Linked DNA regions of Neurospora crassa OR74A. The protein of the gene in region 1 binds, or shares a complex with, the protein of each later gene. Links are inferred from orthologs where the notes say so. Each region holds a gene or a part of one and is shown in the gene's direction. Other genes may lie near its edges.

The links. Proteins that work in one complex are often made in the same cells at the same time.
Region 2: the proteins of NCU04370 (region 1) and NCU01188 are in contact, whole or in part, in a crystal structure (PDB 6ZHU), measured with the Saccharomyces cerevisiae proteins. The link is inferred for Neurospora crassa OR74A from reciprocal best matches to the Saccharomyces cerevisiae genes UBA1 and CDC34. Residues at the interface, in NP_012712.1 of Saccharomyces cerevisiae: Arg182, Asp200, Arg202, Phe236, Glu584, Ser588, Arg590, Asp591, Pro592, Pro593, Lys595, Ser596, Ile597, Pro598, Leu599, Cys600, Arg603, Ser604, Phe605, Asp650, Leu691, Asn694, Phe695, Pro696, Ala699, Thr701, Ser702, Phe707, Lys712, Pro915; in NP_010339.1 of Saccharomyces cerevisiae: Lys5, Ser6, Thr7, Ser9, Leu13, Arg14, Tyr16, Arg17, Leu33, Asp36, Ser37, Asn38, Ile39, Phe40, Asp69, Phe72, Ser73, Tyr89, Arg90, Asp91, Arg93, Leu94, Cys95, His100, Gln101, Ser102, Gly103, Asp104, Pro105, Met106.

The regions. Positions count from the first base shown.
Region 1 is NC_026504.1:3,604,378-3,608,406, forward strand, and holds the start of NCU04370 (ubiquitin-activating enzyme E1 1), read left to right. Parts: upstream 1-1,229; 5' UTR 1,230-1,599; coding exon 1,600-1,605; intron 1,606-1,714; coding exon 1,715-2,094; intron 2,095-2,159; coding exon 2,160-4,029. Other genes in the region: peptidyl-prolyl cis-trans isomerase fkr-3, read left to right, coding at 14-34, 186-227, 334-361.
Region 2 is NC_026505.1:3,174,799-3,178,750, forward strand, and holds NCU01188 (ubiquitin conjugating enzyme), read left to right. Parts: upstream 1-1,493; 5' UTR 1,494-1,992; coding exon 1,993-2,085; intron 2,086-2,221; coding exon 2,222-2,845; 3' UTR 2,846-3,452; downstream 3,453-3,952. Other genes in the region: cpc-3 protein, read left to right, coding at 1-95. UniProt on the Saccharomyces cerevisiae protein: Catalyzes the covalent attachment of ubiquitin to other proteins. Capable, in vitro, to ubiquitinate histone H2A. Mediates the initiation of DNA replication (transition of G1 to S phase in cell cycle).

The DNA.
Region 1 (4,029 bases):
CAATATGTTTTAGTGATTACGGATACGGAGAGCGGTGAGTAACCTGCAGGCCTTTTTTTTTTCTTTCTTCTGAAAATCCAAAAAAATCAGTCTATATGGTGTAACACCACCCGCAGACACGATACTTCTGGCCGTGCTGATTTGGAGTTAATGCCCATGTGCTGACCCGACTTATTGCACACCAGGGGTTTTCACGGCCACATTCCTCCGAACGCAGATTTGATCTTGTGAGTTGTCTCCTGTATGCCACATATCTTGCTCCAGCTTGTCTCTACAGTCAAGGTAGCGGCGGGCAAGATAGCGTCAGCAAGGATACGAGCTAATATGTGATAGTGACGTATATCTCAAGGGTCTCCAGTAGCTGGGCGGTTCACTGATCTCGGGAAAAGGAGACGAGGTCCTTAGTTCAACGCCTCCAACGAGCCAAAGTAGGGACCGCTGGGCAAGAAACCACTGGAACTTGAAGTTCTTTTGGGAAGATAGATTTTATGTCGGTGATGGCGATGACGAAAACACAGATGGTTGGTGTTTACGTTGCGAGGAACCTTGATGGGTAAAGACGAGGAATTAATTGAATGACGGGAGGTTGAAGCGATACAGGGAAGGTTGAAGTACCCGCGCAGCTATGTTAATATGGAGAAGTACCTACAAGCGCCTCATTGAATGTGATTGGCTCACTACGATAAGAGAGCACAAGTTGCCTGCCGGATGGGCTGAGTGGCTGGTCCTTGCTTACTGTACCAAGTACGTTTTACCGCCATCGGTACATCGGGCAAGTACCTCTAGTGCATGACCGCCTCGTACCGTCTACTGCCAGGGGTGTTAGTAATGATTCGATCCTTCTATTGCTGTCCTCACGGTTCCTTCCAGGTTCATGCGCGCGTGAACCACAATACATATTGGCTTCCCTTCAGCATCAATGAGACTCTGAGTCAAGGTTTATCCGATCAGATAGGAGACAGGGCACAGCCAGTGTGAAACGAGGTTGGGTCGAGGTAGAGGTACCTAGAGGTACATAGCTAGCATAGCCACTTCCAGACGTACAACCTAGTAATAGGTGCGAGGCCGCATACGGTGAAGGCTACAGCACACTGCACTAACAGCAGTACAGCGACCTGCACGCTGCAGCGGTAGGTGCTTGGCCAACGACGGACAGTGCATCACATCACCATTCCCCGCAGTTCTCCTTGATGCTTGACAGCTGGTGGCGGGGCTGACCGAACCTCCCTCGACATCCCCGCCGCCCGACCTTCCAGATTACAGACAGCTTCCACTTCCACTTGCACTTGCACTTGCACTTGCACCTTGACATAGTACGACATAGTAGCACTTGCGCTTGATCCGTCGTCTGTTTTCCCGAGTCATTCAACTACAACATCGGCGTTTTCTTTGGACCAACATCGCCAACTTGAAGTATCACAATACCCGACCACTGCGAATCAACAACTTTAGGTTCAGTTCTCGTTCTTGTTTTTGCTCTGTTTGCGTCACGAACTTTCCACCATCTATAATCTACCGGCCCGCCCGTAATCAACAGTCGCCAAGCTGGGGAAGCGCAAAGTATCCGAAGGGGACCTACCCATCTCTCTAAAGAGAACCATGACAGTGAGTTGAAACCCCGTTTGTCTACATGAATCCTACTTGGGATGGCAGATGCTTGTTCCTGGTAGCTAGCGCCAGTCAGTCTGACACTTTCGTGATGCCCATCTCCCAGGACACTCAGAAAAACGAGGTCGACCTTGTCACCAGGATGCAAGTCGACGAATCAGTAGCCGGCACCACGGCCGAGATTGATGAGTCCCTCTACAGTCGCCAGCTCTATGTCTTGGGCCACGAGGCCATGAAGCGCATGAGCGCTTCCAACGTCCTCATCGTCGGCCTCAAGGGCCTCGGCGTCGAGATCGCCAAGAACGTGGCCCTTGCTGGCGTCAAGAGCCTCACCCTCCACGACCCCGAGCCCGCCGCCTGGGCCGACCTCTCCGCCCAGTTCTTCCTCCGCCCTGAGGATGTCGGCAAGCCTCGCGACCAGGTCACCGCTCCCCGCGTTGCTGAGCTCAATGCTTATACCCCCGTTCACATCCACCAGTCGCCAAGGTAGGTTATGAACCGGACGGGAGTGAGCTTGACAGGTTCGGTAGCTAACCGTGGCCTCTGTACAGTCTCGCCGATAACCTGTCGCAGTTTGACAAGTACCAAGTCGTCGTCCTTACGAACCAGCACACCGATCTCCAGACTATTGTCGGCGAATACTGCCACTCCAAGGGCATCTACTTTATTGCTGTCAACACACACGGTCTCTTTGGCGGCATCTTCTGTGATTTCGGCGATAACTTTACTGTCATGGACACGAACGGCGAAAACCCCGTTAACGGTATCGTGGCTGGCATCGACGAGGAGGGTCTCGTTTCTGCGCTTGACGAGACCAGGCATGGACTTGAGGATGGCGACTATGTGACCTTCTCGGAGGTTGAGGGTATGGAGGGACTCAACGGCTGCGAGCCCCGCAAGGTCACCGTCAAGGGCCCCTACACCTTCTCTATCGGCGACGTGTCGGGGCTTGGCCAGTACAAGAAGGGCGGTCTCTACCAGCAGGTCAAAATGCCCAAGACCATCGAGTTCAAGAGCATTACCAACGCGCTCAAGGATCCCGAGTTTGTCATCTCCGACTTCGCCAAGTTCGATCGCCCTCAGCAGCTTCATATTGGATTCCAGGCTCTCCACGCTTTCGCCAAGTCTCAGGGACGTCTACCAAGGCCGATGAACGACGAGGATGCGCTTGTGGTTATCGCCTCGGCTAAGGAGTTTGCCAAGCAGCAGGGTGTTGACGTCGAGTTCGACGACAAGCTTCTCAAGGAGCTCAGCTACCAGGCTACTGGTGACCTTAACCCCATGGCCGCTTTCTTCGGTGGCCTTACTGCCCAGGAAGTCCTCAAGGCTGTTTCGGGCAAGTTCCACCCCATTAAGCAGTTCATGTACTTCGATGCGCTCGAGGCTCTTCCCACCAACTCCAAGCGCACCGAGGAACTCTGTGCGCCCACTGGTAGCAGGTATGACGGCCAGATTGCGGTCTTTGGTAAGGAGTTTCAGGAGAAGATCTCGAACGTCAAGCAGTTCCTTGTTGGCGCTGGCGCCATTGGCTGTGAGATGCTCAAGAACTGGGCCATGATTGGTCTCGGAACAGGCCCTGAGGGTAAGATTACCGTTACCGATATGGACTCGATCGAGAAGTCCAACTTGAACAGACAGTTCTTGTTCCGTCCCAAGGACGTTGGTCAGATGAAGAGTGACTGCGCGGCCAAGGCCGCGCAAGCTATGAACCCTGACCTCGAAGGCCACATTGTTTCTCTCAAGGATCGCGTTAGTCCCGAGACCGAGGAGATCTTCAATGAGGAGTTCTGGCAGGGTTTGGATGGCGTCACTAACGCGCTGGACAACGTTGAGGCGAGAACGTATGTCGACAGACGGTGCGTTTTCTTCCACAAGCCTCTCCTTGAGAGTGGTACCCTCGGCACCAAGGGCAACACGCAAGTGGTGCTTCCTAGGCTCACTGAGTCCTACTCTTCCTCCCAGGATCCTCCTGAGCAGTCGTTCCCCATGTGCACTCTCAGGAGTTTCCCCAACAAGATCGAGCACACCATTGCTTGGGCTCGTGAGCTGTTCGAGAGCTCATTTGTCAAGCCTGCGGAGACCGTCAACCTCTACTTGACCCAGCCAAACTATCTCGACACTACCCTGAAGCAGAGTGGCAACGAGAAGGCGACGCTGGAGATGTTGGCGGACTTCCTAAAGCACGAGCGCCCGCTCACCTTTGAGGATTGTGTCCAATGGGCTCGCATGCTCTTCGAGAAGCAGTACAACAACGCTATTCAGCAGCTCCTTTACAACTTCCCCAAGGATTCCGTGTCCTCGACCGGTACCCCCTTCTGGTCCGGACCCAAGCGCGCCCCTGACCCGCTCAAGTTCGACCCTGAAAACCCCACCCACTTTAGCTTCCTCGAGGCTGCTACCAACCTCCATGCCTTCAACTAT
Region 2 (3,952 bases), on another chromosome or scaffold:
GGAGGTGGGAGTGGGAGGCCAAGAAGGGATCGGAGCACGCGTTTGTGTATAATTTCAGGACGGGGAGGTGCATCTATTACGACTTGTCGGCTTGATCGGGTCGGCAGGGTATTGAAGCCCTGGGGAGGTGCCTAGCTGGGTAGGATACGTTGGCGATGGTGGGTTGGATGTGTGTATAATAGGTATACAGTTGTAAGGCTAGTAATCCCACCCGAAGGCATCACTGCTCTTTCAAATCGTCCGATGTTCCTCTTGCTTTTCGTCTATGGTGATCCCCTGAAACACCAACTCAACCTGAGTCAGCCTCCTATACAGAACCCTAACCCTTCTGTCACAAGTGAAACGCCCAACCATCTCACTACGGGAAGATCACCCTGCTGGCCAACAAGAAGTTCGTTCGCACACAAGAAGCCAGGAAGAAGACCGATTGCGGAGGAACTGACCATCAAGGTCCTTGCCTACTGTTACCCACCGGATCTTCTAACTGCCTGGCACGGACGTTTCCCATCCATGGTTTACGAGAAAATGGGAACCGCTGCCAGTATGCAAACGAATCGATCCATCTTCTTCCCTCATGTTGGGCAACACGTTACCTGTACCTACTCTTATTTACAGCAAAGTGTTGTGAATGACGGGTATATGATGCTTGGAAACAGATGCGAATGTGGATTCGATTTAAGGCATCGATCATTTGTTGTCTGGGCAGTCAACAGGACAACATGGAACTGCGTCACTTCTTTGTAGCTTCAGTGGACCGTGACGGGATCTAGTGTACTTGGGAAATTGTTAGTGCATCCTCTGAAACATCCGATAACTGCAATTCTGACCACCACCAATATGCCCTATCACCATGGGATGCTCATTTGTCAGTGGCAAAGGAACTGCACCGTCGTGTCGTCCCGTCTCCTTGCGGGTAGATTGTACATGATTGTCTGATGGGCCCCCCCTTTGCCAGAGAAAAAAAAAAAAAAAAAGGCCGTTCTGGGAGGTTCCGCCTGCTTTGTAAAGGTTGACGGGCAATTACAATACGATAATATGGAAGGGCGGGGATTACGGCCTCCCTCCTTTGACGATACTCCTGTCAGGTGTATTGGTCTTATGTAGAGGTAGGTACCTATGCCGAGAGCCCGAGACCGCCATTGTGCAGCGGTGTTGACCACCATTAACAAACGTAAGGCGAGACATGCAGTTGTTAGGATTCCTCAGTGCCTCGCTCAGCTCGGCTGCTGCACCACCATGGGAGAAGGAAGTTGGGCAATGACGGGACCATCACAAATGGTCTGGGTCGGTTGCTTCGTGTAGACTTAGGTTAAGTTGAGAGTGCGTGCTAGAGACTGCCCAACCTTCTATCCGGGTCCTCGCTCCGAGGAACCCAAGGGAAGCGTGACCCTGCCATGATTCCATCGCTCACATCGTAGTAGTGTAGTTCACACACCTTTTCCTGATCCGGTTGTGACGTTCGTACGCCCTTCCACTTTTCCTCCCGTCTGACCCTGCTTTCTCCTGACTCGCAACCTCTCTATTGTTCCAGATTGTCACCGCCCAGCCCTTGATTTCCAACCCACTTCCCAAAGACCACCATCGTGACAAACCGTGAACTTCTATCCCGACCGTCCGTGCTTCCATAGAGTCTGTTCCCATTGTTTGGTTATCGTTATCATTCCATCCCTCTTCAAAAGATCAATACCCACCCCGGCCTTCACCACCGACCGTCTAACAATCTTCCCCAAACACCCGCCCGCCTCTTGCCAACATCCCCTCAAACTACAAATACCACCATTTTCCTCTCGAGGCCCCCGATCTTGCGCACGAGAGGGATCTTCGTCAGCACTTTACGTGTCGATCCCTTGACGAGCCACCACAACATATCTACTTCACCACCACCGCCACCACCAACGAAGTAAAGTGGGCTTTTCCAGCGGCAGCCCATTCTTTCTTTTGTCAACCTCCGCCACCGGCACCTCGCCTTCACTTCCGTAACCACATTTTGCCATGTCGTACAGGACAACAGCGTCGGGCGCTACAACGCGCCTGATGAGTGAGATGAAGGCGCTACGAAAGGAGAAGTGGATTCACTTTGAAGATGTACGTCCTAGTACCGTTCGTTTTTTCTCCTTTGCCGGTCTGTCGTTCGCGGGCGCAGTACCGGCACGTCGATTCTAGTATCACTATACCTTCACTACGGAACCTAGACTGACCCTCACTTCTTTGGCGCAAACAGGACGATTCTGCGACCCTCAACATCCTCAAGTGGCGCTTCGGCCTCATGGTCATCAACCCCGACAGCGCCTTTAACGGGGGGTACTTCAGGGCCGAGATGGTATTTTCGGACGAATACCCCTACCAGCCGCCCAAGTTCCGCTTCCTGATCCCCATCACCCACCCCAATGTGTATCCGGACGGCCAGCTCTGCATCTCGATCCTGCACACACCCGGCGAGGACCTCATGTCTGGCGAGCAGGCTAGCGAGCGTTGGTCGCCGCTCCAGGGCGCCGAGAGTGTGCTGAGGTCGGTTCTGTTGCTGCTGGACGACCCTGAAATCAATAGCCCCGCCAACGTGGACGCGGGCGTCATGTACCGCGACCGCCGAGAGGATTACAACAAGAAGGCCCGGGAAACGGTGGAGAGATCAAAGAAGGATATCCCGCCAGGATTCGAGATGCCGGTCAGCTTTGAGGAAAAGCCGCCTCCGAAGGCCGAGAACGACGACGATTTTTGGGCCGAGTCGGATGAGGAGTTTGACTTTGGTGGTAGTGACACCGGGGATGACGACGAGATGGAGGACTTTGAGGACGGGGAGGAAGGGAGCGAGGATGACGACGACGATTCCAACTCCAAGCAATAGAAGGACTTGCTTGCTTACTTGCTTGTTGTTCCTTCAACAGCAGCAGCAACCGTTTTTATCGCCGTTGTCAAGCTGGGCTGGGTCTGGTTCGGGTCAGGATGGTGATGATATACCTTTCTCTTTCTTATTCTTGTTCTGCTTCAACCCGTCATATTTGCATAGCGTCGGGGACACTCGCGGTGTGTTTGGGCGTTTTCGTGGTCTCCCAAGCAGGCATATCTGGTGGGAATTTCATTGGTCGCTTTTTTTTTTTCTTTTTTTTTTTTACATACAGAGACACACCGTCACCCAAGTACTTGCCTATCCTCAGCCACAATGTTCTTGCACAGCGGAAGACATTGGCAAAGACGGGAAGCGGTCTGGCTTCATAGTAACATAGAATACATTTAGCGGAAACGTCTAGACTAGAGCTATAGACTCAACTTTCGTTTTCATGGAGCGATGAGCGGATGTAGCCCCGCGATGGCATCGCTGAGTTCAGAGAGCCGAATAGCCCGTCTGGAGCCCGTGCACGATGTCAGAGCCCAAGACCTCCGTCCCTTGACACATAACAGTGAAGAGGGGCCCGGGCCTTGGGGATGTCCCCTCAGCGACCGAGCAGTTGACCTCCGAAGCCCCTCCATCATCCCCTCATGAGATACCCATTTCTGTACAGCAAGTGAAATTTGTGAGCAGGCCGAAACCGATGAGAAACCGAAGGATACCTGCCCGACGCTCCAAGATCATCATGATGCATCTCTTCTTTGGCTTTTGTTGTCATCGTCCACGTTTACCCCGGCCCTCAGCCAAAACCTAACGGAGTGCCTCAATACCTTTCCCCCCATTCCCCGCAGTTTTTGCCATCAATCAAAAGCTGCCCCTGCCGCCTTGTTTGTGTACCTACTGTACATAGTACGTACAGGGCTCGGGTACCTCATCAAGCAGCTCTTGCATTTCATTGTCTGACAACGTAAAGGCAAACAACATCCCAATCTGGCTTCCCATCATCTCGTTCGCCCTGTCTTCGTCCAAACAGCAACAACAACAATAACAACAAAAAGTAAAAGCAGGGCTATCCTTCGCCCACTTCATCCTTTTCGCTCTTAAAGCCAGCAAAGTAGCTCGACA